Linked DNA regions of Schizosaccharomyces pombe. The protein of the gene in region 1 interacts with the protein of each later gene in a pairwise test. Each region holds a gene or a part of one and is shown on either strand. Other genes may lie near its edges.

What was found.
Region 2: the proteins of atg9 (region 1) and atg13 interact in a two-hybrid assay, tested with the Schizosaccharomyces pombe proteins (one study listed by BioGRID).

Annotation. Positions count from the first base shown.
Region 1 is NC_003423.3:3,022,819-3,027,893, reverse strand, and holds atg9 (autophagy-associated protein Atg9), read left to right. Parts: upstream 1-2,235; 5' UTR 2,236-2,272; coding exon 2,273-4,381; 3' UTR 4,382-4,551; downstream 4,552-5,075. Other genes in the region: met3 (cystathionine gamma-synthase), read left to right, coding at 1-1,453; SPOM_SPBC15D4.08C (uncharacterized protein), read left to right, coding at 1,819-2,235; NatC N-acetyltransferase complex catalytic subunit Naa30, read right to left, coding at 4,921-5,075. UniProt on the Schizosaccharomyces pombe protein: Phospholipid scramblase involved in autophagy and cytoplasm to vacuole transport (Cvt) vesicle formation.
Region 2 is NC_003424.3:4,839,826-4,845,437, forward strand, and holds atg13 (autophagy-associated protein kinase regulatory subunit Atg13), read right to left. Parts: upstream 3,779-5,612; 5' UTR 3,620-3,778; coding exon 3,485-3,619; intron 3,407-3,484; coding exon 3,311-3,406; intron 3,067-3,310; coding exon 1,021-3,066; 3' UTR 660-1,020; downstream 1-659. Other genes in the region: BUD22 family ribosome small subunit biogenesis protein, read left to right, coding at 1-455; protein mug126, read left to right, coding at 5,030-5,612. UniProt on the Schizosaccharomyces pombe protein: Component of the atg1 kinase complex that activates the atg1 kinase in a nutritional condition dependent manner through the TOR pathway, leading to autophagy.

The DNA.
Region 1 (5,075 bases):
TGATTCAATTGACCGAAATCGCAAATATACTGAAGAAATACACATACCTCAGGTTTATTCTGTATTGTTTCCATCCAAATACTTTGGGATTGCCAAGCAATTCTGGCAACATACGGGGGACGGTATTTCAAGCAGACGCGCAGCTGCTTTTCTGCATTCCTACAAAAAAATTCAGTCTATTTCCGAATTTTTGGTTGCCCAGAGGTCTATTTCTCATCTCAAAAGTAAAAGCAGAAGCCGATATGCTTCCCATCCAGATCTACAGGCTTTGAATACTTGGATGACTAACGAAGGAAACCAAGCTAATGATGAAATGGAAGACGTATCCCTATATTTGGAGGAGAGATATGGGCGTAATTTAGATTTAAGTTTGGCTACAGCAGCTAAACTTGTTCTTCGACGACGTATCGCTGGTACCTTAAAAGATGAAGTTGATTTGCAAAAGGCTTTACCCAAAGAAGGGTCTCAGTATTTACGTGAAGTTAAAGGTTTAAGTCACGACGATGTTTTTTTATTTCCTACTGGCATGAGTGCTATTTACAATACTCATCGCATATTAAGGTTGGTGCTTGATGATAGCCGTAAAAGTGTTTGTTTTGGTTTTTGTTATGTTGATACCTTAAAAATTTTACAGAAATGGGGATCTGGCTGCTACTTTTATGGACTAGGTAATGACGAGCAACTTGATGAGTTTGAGAAACGGTTAGAAAGTGGAGAGAAAGTTATGGCATTGTTTTGTGAGTTTCCATCAAATCCTCTTTTAAACTCTCCCGATTTGGTTCGTATTCGGAAATTAGCAGACAGTTATGATTTTGCTGTCGTGGTTGATGAAACAATTGGAAATTTTGTCAACGTTGAGGTTTTACCATTAGCAGATGTAGTTGTCAGCAGCCTCACAAAGATTTTTAGCGGTGATAGTAATGTAATGGGAGGTAGTATGGTTTTAAATCCGTCAAGTCGTTACTACTCTCGAATAAAAGATGCTATGAAGGCTCTTTATGAAGACTTATTATATGATGAGGATGCTTTGACATTAGAAAGAAATAGCAGAGATTTTGCTGAACGTTCACAAGTGATAAACCATAACGCGGAAACAATTTGTAATTTGCTTTATCAAAACCCTAAAATTAAAACTCTATACTATCCCAAATACAATACATCAAAAGAGCATTTTGAAGCTTGCCGGAGAGAAAATGGAGGTTATGGTGGTCTTTTGTCTGTCGTTTTCCACAATCCTGAAGATGCGCGCCAATTTTACGACAAAATCCAAGTAGCAAAAGGTCCCTCACTTGGTACAAATTTTACGTTGGCTTCTCCCTATGCAATTTTAGCTCACTACCAAGAGTTGGATTGGGCTGGTGAGAATGGCATAGATAGAAACCTTGTTCGTGTCAGCGTTGGAATGGAACCCAGCGAACACCTGAAAAATGTTTTTATAAATGCTCTTTCATAACTTGTATCTAAACTGTTTTCAAATAATAGATATTTTTTAAAAACCCAATCATATAACTATAGTTATAGATGAAACTGTCATAGTTATTCTTGAAATTGTTGTTTTTTCTTTTTGGTATTACCTTAAATATATTTAAACAAAATAGAAAATATATGCCTGATGTGATAGGAAAATGTAGTAAAGATATGTTTTTCTAGCTATTTCGAATGTGAGAAATATTTTAGGAAGTTCATTGTCTAAATGTTTACTTCGGGAACAGATGCAACGAGGTACAATACGTTCGCTTGGGGTATGCTACTTTGTTCTCAACGCTCAGTAATAAAGTGCGCGCGCTAGAAATTCTTTTGGTGCAAACCAAAATCATAATGCCCGAATCGGCTCCTTCAACTCCTCCATCTGTAAATCGGAGGCATGAACCAGAAATGCTTTCAGAGTACCCCTCGCTGATGTTTGAACACTCATATTTGGCGTCACCCTCTAGTCCGATTGATCAGGTTCATGACGAACTCAAACACTCTCAGAAACGTCCAAGATTAACTAACGACGAAGAAACAATTCCAGAAGAAGATGACAGTACTGTTCGCCTTACAGACTCAGAGCTTGAAGATCCAGTTTCAAGCAACGAGTTGATTCAAACTTCATGTCACCTGCTCACAAGCGTGTTAACTCAGCTACAGACCAACTTAGATAAACTTAAAGATAGTCATCAAAAAGCATTACTTCGGATACAAGAACTAGAAAAAAAGGTCTCTGAATTAAGCAAAAATAATAAAGATTCATGAGAAAAACCCATATGCCAATTTGAGTGGAATTGCGATCATGTTTTATCAGCCGGCTCAAAACAAAAAGCAATATGACGATCTTGCTGATATAGAAGCTCAAAATAATGTTCCTAATACCCAAGAAGTTTTAGAGGCATGGCAAGAGTCTTTAGACAGTGATGAGGACGAGTCTTCGCCACTTGAGGAATCCAACGGCTTTACAATATCTGAACATGACGATTTCGTAAAAAGCGTTCCAAGAAAGAATAATCCAACGGATTTGCTGTATTCTGGAAAGCTTCTGGACTCAGACGAGCCTCCATCTGTTCATGGAAATTCTTCAAAAGTACCCTCGAAACACCCCAGTCCTTCCTTTCCTGAAACTACTTCTCTGAGGAACCTGCAAAATGGTTCAAAGCAAAAACCAGCACTCCCCAATTTTAACGATCCCCATTTTTATAATGAAGATGTCACTCGCTCTGGACATCCTAATCGATCTATTTATACTCAGCTTCCTCGTAACGAATTTTCCAACGCTCGCGTTCTTTGGAATCGTTTAAGTGCCCGGGATCGGGTTCTTTGGAGATGGGCAAACGTAGAAAATTTGGATAGCTTTCTTCAGCAAGTTTATACTTACTACACTGGTAAAGGATTGTCTTGTATAATTGTTCACCGACTATTTCAAATTTTGACAGTTTCATTTGTTATTGGTTTTACCACATTCATAACTAGTTGCATAGATTGGCCTGCTGTGACACCCCATGGTTCACTGGCTGGTGTCACAAAGTCTCAATGCATTGCACAAATGTCGCCAATAACGTATCTTGTTTTGTGGCTTTTTTTAAGTTTTCTTTTGGCACTTTGGATATATTATCTTACTGATATTCCAAGGTTATGGCAAATGCGTGAGTTTTATATTCATGCCTTAAAAATTGCTACCGCAGATATGCCAACAGTATCTTGGCAAAGGGTTTTATATCGTTTATTGAAATTAAAGAATGTAAATGCTCTTACTGCTGAGGATGGAAGGGTAGTGTCTCTTCATAACATGAAACGCCTGGATGCTTATGCAATTGCAAATCGTATAATGAGAAAAGACAATTACTTCATTGCACTGATAAATAATGGAATAATTAATATTGAGCTTCCTCTCTTGCACAGGAGAATACTCACACATACCACGGAATGGAACATAAATTGGTGCATATTCAATTTCGTTTTCGATGAGCAAGGTCAGCTTCGTAGTGCTTTTCGAAATCCTAACTCCCGGAAAAGGCTTTCTGAAGAATTACGTCGTCGATTCATCGTCGCTGGTTTCCTCAATTGCCTTTTTGCGCCAATCGTTGCAATTTACTTAGTAATTCACAATTTCTTCCGCTATTTTAATGAATATCATAAAAATCCAGGCGCGTTGAGTACAAGAAGATACACTCCATTAGCTTTATGGACTTTTCGTGAATACAATGAGTTACAACATTTTTTTGATGAACGCATTAATGATAGCTATGCGGCCGCATCTCATTATGTATCTCAGTTCCCTGACTTTAACATGATTAGGTTATTCAAATACATATCATTTATTTTAGGAAGTTTTACTGCGATTTTAGTAATAATCACAGTTTTTGATCCTGAATTAATGGTAACTTTTGAAATAACTAAAGATCGATCTGTACTTTTTTATCTTGGTCTTTTCGGATCTCTTATAGCAGTTTCGCGCTCAATAATACCTGATGAAACTTTGGTTTTTGCTCCGGAAAAAGCTTTAAGGCGCGTAATCACTTTTACACATTACATGCCAGGATGGTGGTCTGATAACATGCATAGTAAAGCTGTTCAACAAGAGTTCTGTTCTCTATATTCATATCGCATAGTTAATCTTCTTTGGGAGATTCTTGGAATTTTGCTGACACCCGTATTGTTGTTTTTCACTTTTCCTTCCTGCAGTCAAGATATTGTGGATTTCTTCAGAGAACATACTATAAACGTTGAAGGCGTTGGGTACGTCTGTAGTTACGCTGTTTTCCAGGACAACCCGCCTTATGAGTCTGTCGCTTCTTTGGTACAATCACGTAAAATAAGCCCTCTAATTCAAAATAAACCAGAACTTTCTCGCATCAGCTTTTACGAACAATTTAATACGGAAGCACCTAGAAGGGATCTTCGTTAATGAAATTGAGAGTCAGTTCTTGAAACAACCAAGCAAGTCTCAATGGCTTAATGGTTTATTTTTCTGTCATACAAAATGAAGGACAATGTTTATAAGAAGTGTTAACAATTTGCTAGCAAGGCAATTTGAGCCACTAATGCATGTAATGATTGTATTTTTACTAATTTCTTTTAATGAATGGTGATTGTTTGTTTGGAGAGTTAGCAGTTTACGTTGAAGCTTCTTTATTTATTCAGCTGTAGACTTTATGTTTTACTATTAATGAAGTTTACATTTAATGGAATGATATTATTTTTATGAACATCCGTACAATTTCTTTGAATCAATGTAAACACTGTTTATTACAGTTATAATTACGGAGTTACGCTACAGTGACGACTAATGACAATTACTTATGGTATTAATCAGTAGAAGAAAAAAAATAAAAAAAAATAAATAGATTGGAACAACTTTAAAACTTTCACTTATACTGCGACAAGTGGAAACAAATTTTCTTAGAGCATAGAAAATGCCGCGATTTTATTTTGTAGCATTGTTTTTCAATTCGGGTACAAGATGTATCGAAATGCATCAGTGCCGTTCAAATAATAACGATAAAGACGTTTATAGCGACAAAACCCGAGTCTTTCATAAAAAGACATGGCTGCCTCATTATCCACCTCTGTTTCCAAAACAATTTCCTGGGCACCTCTAT
Region 2 (5,612 bases), on another chromosome or scaffold:
CTACTTTAATAAACAGGAAGTCTATAATTGATGATGAGATGTTGGAAATTCCTCTGGGCAAACATAACAATACTAATCTGCCTGCCCTTACAGCGGGCTTCTTAGATCCAGTCGAAAGTGATGATGAATTTGTCGAAAAGGAGTTAGAAGAAGTAGATATCCCGAAGCGTAAAAATCGTCGTGGTCAAAGAGCTAGACAAGCTATTTGGGAAAAAAAGTATGGTAAAGGTGCTAACCATTTGATAAAAAAAGCGACTGAAGAAAGGAGTATTCGTGAAGAAAGACAGAGAAAGTATGAAGAAAGGCAAGCTAAACGTGCTGCTCGTGAAAATGCTTTTACGGAGCACCAAACACCTCAAAAACCAGAGCAACTGCATCCCTCTTGGGAGGCTAAAAGGAAACAAAAAATGCCTTCTAGTGCAGCATTCCAGGGTAAAAAAATAGTTTTTGACTAATCTTAAACATTCCAATTTATAAAATAGTAGTGCTTTTTTTCGATATTCAGGAAGTAAGAAACATCCTCTTTTTTTCAAAACAATGGTAAAACATCATAGCGTTTTACATTGCTCAAATCGCAGCTAGAAGATTGTATTAATATCTTGAAACTGTATACGTTGCTAATATTTTATACACAGAATAAACAGAGCTAACAAATTACTATTATTCATGATGTTTCTGTTGCTAACTAGTAAATTTAAATTTTCAATAACTGTGATTTTTTAAATTATTAGAAACTAAATTACAATTTCAATTAATACCTACACTAGCTAGATAAACAGTATATGTAGATACTAATCATGGTAAATGTGAAAAGTACAGTCAGACATTATGAGTATTTTCAATCGCTGCCCAAAGCTCATGAATTGAGGCGAATATTGCGAAATTCACTTGTATGGAACGAAGCTTAATTGAAGCTATAATGCAGCTGAAAAAAACTATTAAAAAATTAAAAGAAAACAAGAATGGTTGAGTGCATTAAATGGATGCTATATCACTCCAAATTCTAAACATAGGCTTCGCTTAATCATCGGATTTGGGAGAACCAAGCCTAATAGCTGAAACATCATGGGGTTCAAGAGTCATATCAGTCATTGTGAACAATAAATCATCATCATAATTGGGGTTATGCTCATTGTAATATTCGTAAGTAGGTGTTGAAGGAGTAAGACATTGACGTCGTTCTTCAGAAAGATTATCAAAGTGCTTTTTGTACTCTTGTGGGATTCCCGGCTCAAGTACAAAAGAAGGGCTGGGCGTCTTTGTTGCTTGTAGGCTTGCTGGCGTTGATGAATGTTCCAGTGATTTGGATAAGCTGGTGTGATATTCGAAACGCGGAAGTCCAGCAGAAGTAGCCGATCTAGCACAAATTGGTGATTGACTTTTCCGCATATCGTGAAGAGATGCTAGTTGCTTTGAAGTATCGTTTGCTGATGGTACTTCAGTTTGAGTATGAGGAATAACAGTGCTTGGAGACCGGTTATCTCCTTGGAACGTGGAAGCTTGTGAAATGGATGTCAGGGGAGCAGGGAAGGTAGATTTTTCAGAGAAGGAAGGCCGAGATCGCAGCGTACCTAAAGTGTGATGGCGCATGATGCTATGGCTAGAATTTCCAAGATTATGCTTCACAGCCTCAGTAAAACGGGATCCGCTATTATCAATTGAATGATTATAGGTATCGATGTCAAAAATTTCATTGCTACTACCCAAGGAATTATGAGGGTGAGCAACTGGCGAAATTCCAGATGTCAAAGTTTGTACCTTCCCTGGAAATGAACCACTTGATTTGCTACCTTCCGAAGCATTTAAATGATGTGCATGACTATCTAATAGTTGAATAAAACCGCTAAGATCATCCTTTGATGCAAATTCACTATCATAAACAGCATGCTCAGAATGATCTGTTATAGGATTCTCTGAGACGTTATGTTTGAAAATGCTACGAATAGGATGATTGACTAGCGGTAAACGATTACGAGAGCTAAAGCTTTCTTTACGCTCGCGGGGACCGAAACTACTGCTAAATCGTCGAAGATTCGGGGTATTGGAAATGTCAAGTGTGTTAAGCTTAAGACTTCCAGATGTAAGAGGTGGCAATTTTGCTCTTGATTTGCTTGCAGCATCAGAAATCATTGAAAATTTATTTAAAGAGGTGGCTGATGGTCCGCGATGTATATAACGATTGACTGCAACCTTCGGAGAAATTGACATATTGTCAAAATTTGACCCTGGGGAAGCAGATAATGACGGAGATTTGAAAGGATGTATAGTAACAAGAGGAGCTGCTTGAGCTGTTATAGACTCAATGCTAGCTAAATGTTGGATTTCAGATTGTAAAAGAGAATTCGGATCCGACTGCTTAGCTAACCGCGTTGCAAAAGAAGGAGGTGGTTGATCATACTGTTTGCCATCTTCAAAATCTTGAGAATTGTTCGAAGCAGCAAGTTGATGCTTGTCTGCAGATAACAACTGGTTAGAGAGTAACGCATCAGAATCATGAACCTCAAAATGACAATTTTTACGATACTGAACAGATATGCGAAAATCTCCAGCTGGTGTACCAACAGGGCTGAAAGAGAAAGTTGCAATACTGCTTCCGAGCGAGGATGAAATTGGAGCACTTATAGGAAGGAAATCATTCGATAAAACATCATCCGTAGAGAGGGCACAGCCAACTTTTAAAGATGTACCATGAGCTCTTAATTTGTGTATTTTCGACTTCAATTTCCACAGAGGCATAAGATGGGTATAAGTGTAGAGGGAACGAAATAAAACAACTAACTTTTTGTACAAAACAGCCAACTCCAGAGGGGTTGATAAGGCTTCGCCATCTAAATTCACAATCCATCTTTCAAGTACGATTTTCATTGTCGACATATTATTAAAGTTGATTGCGTGAGAATGAGTACCATCGGAAACAGAAAGGGTTTGATTTTTTGATAAATCAGATATATCTAAATATGTGTGCAAAACCATTGGAGGTATTTTTCGTGAAGGAGAAAGTTCAATATTCTTCCAAATTTTGAATTGCTCGGCATAAAGCTCAGTTTCAACAATTTCCAAATTGAACTACATTTTGTTAATTAAGTGCAAATATGAATTTTTTAATTATTTGTAATTCCACATTTATACATCAATAGTACAGTGATCAACTTATTCACCTGTAGCTTAAAAATGAAACTCTATGCAGACGCACGAGATGAACGTAAACTGATAAGTAATTGATAAATAATCTTGAGTTTTTTGAAAACCACTGTATGAATAAAGCGCATAACACCGATACTCGTCATTGTAGAAAAACAAAAATACATACCCATTTGTTATTCTTAGAACTTTCTCGAGGACGAGAGGTCCCAAATACATTTAGTCTGGATTCCAAAATTATTAATCCGGTTTTATAAAAACAATGCTATTTGTAAATGTTAATACTTTTCAAGTAAAGGATGGGTGGACCTCAAGCAAGCTTATGATACACACTTTAACTTACGTGAATGACTTGGCCCAGCTTAGCGCTCCTACCACCCACTGATGATAGATCTTTATTTAACTCAGTTGAAACTGCTTTACTATGCCCAGGGGGAGCAGAATACATTCGAGGAAGCTGCGTATTAAGTCTCGGCATATCAATGTGGTTTCCATTAATTCAATTGCAACTTCAAAGTATAAATTATTAATTTTTTAATGTAACAATTTGATTGTTAGCTCATTCTTTAAATTGATAAAGCAGTTTTTAATTAGTTTTCCTAATTGAATGAATTTGGTTTTGCAGTTCGTATTTGGTAAGGCAGAGTATTGTAGTAAGCGGCAAAAGATACTACAGATGCCATGCTCCAACGAAGCACGGTAAATATTAGCGTTGCGTTAAATACGATTTCTTTCGATCACGTTATAAGACAAATGGTAGCTATATTTAAAGGCTCTTTAAACTGCGGTGAATCTTGTTTTGTGAGCTATTATTTTGGAATATAAAGGGATTATGTGCAACAGTGCTGCAAGTAGTCTTGTTGAAGGGAACAATTTAAATTCACAATAAATGGAGCATAACCTACAACAAGTAATTAAGTAATCTGAGTTTTATTTGATTTATGATTCCCTTAATCCGAAAAAACTTCGGACATAAACATACAATTTTCGAAAATTGTCAATAAATGGATATTAACCGTTTTTTTTTATTGCACAACAAATGATGATACGTAATGTATTGCTAAATGTAGGAAATGTTTGTTGACAGCCGCTAAATATTCGCTATTTTAAAACCCAAATACACAAACATCGCTTATGGAAAACAAACAATAATGTCGATTTATGTTGGCTGAGTGTACGGTAATTATTAACTAATTAAAATCATTTACAAGCACTAGCTTATTGATTTAGGATGCATTCTCTATCACTTTTGTGAAAGTTAAATGTAAAACCCTCAGTATTATCATGTTTGAAGCGATGCAACTGATGTTAAAGGTAATGGTCATGATTTTAACCCGAAGTTAAAAGGATATTACTGACTTCTAAGAGCTCTTAGTTTTAATAAAATGCTCATTTTTTTGGCAGTACTAAGTTTTGCAAGCTTAGGTTTGCTCAGCCCTTTTCGTTTTTAAAAAAAAAAAGGAATTAAATTATGTGGTAGTACTAAAATACCTTGAATTTCGTACTCTGGTTTACCAACGATATAAGGAGTCATAAAGAAACGAGACTTTAATTAATTTTTGTTTTTGCTATTAAATTGCAGATGCCATAAGTCATGATGCTGCGATGTTTTCATCATCAATTGTCAAAATGTTATATATTCTTTACATTCCAAATCACCAAGATTAAAATACTACTTTTTGAAGTTTCAAATTTGTTGGTTACAAGGTGTTTCTATTTTTTTTAGAAATCCAATATAATCGCTTGGCTTTAATTGTACTGCTGCTATTTGTTTTTATTTAGAAGTCTTCATTTTTCGGTTCCCCAATTATAAATTATCTGACTGTTGAAAACAGATTTACTGCTTCAATATTAACAATAATTAATAAGATAGAGATAAGTTGAAGAAATGGGAGAAATGCTTAACGAGAATACATCATCAACATCATTGTCGTCTTTTTACGTTTTGGAAAATGAAACCATTTTCAACGTGCAAGAAGAAATGGAGGAAGATGGTTCAGAATCTGGAAATATTCAGAAGACCTTACTAGAGGATCCGTGTCCGGAAAATGTCAATGACGAAAATGAAGATGAACAGAATAGATCTTCTAGATCGTCAAGTCCACTTGTGAAGCATGAACAGAGACATAGAATGTATAACTTGAAGGAAGTAATCAAATCATTCATTCTTACAAAGTCAAAAGAAAAACCATGCGACCTGGAGATGGGAATTGATTCAATTGAAATGGGAAGAATGCAAAGCTTTGAAAGTGATCAACAGGAATCTCACACTGGTCAAGCGAACTTTCCAACTGACCAGGAGGATCCTCGAAATCCTCAATTAGACTCTCAATATGAAGCTTTCATTACTCAAGGGGAATCACAAACGGACAAAAAGAAAACTTCGACAGTTCAAGAGGAGGAGCTTCAGAATGCTGGGAAAAAATTGGAGACTGTTCAAGAAAACCCTCAAGCTTATTCAAAGGTCACCC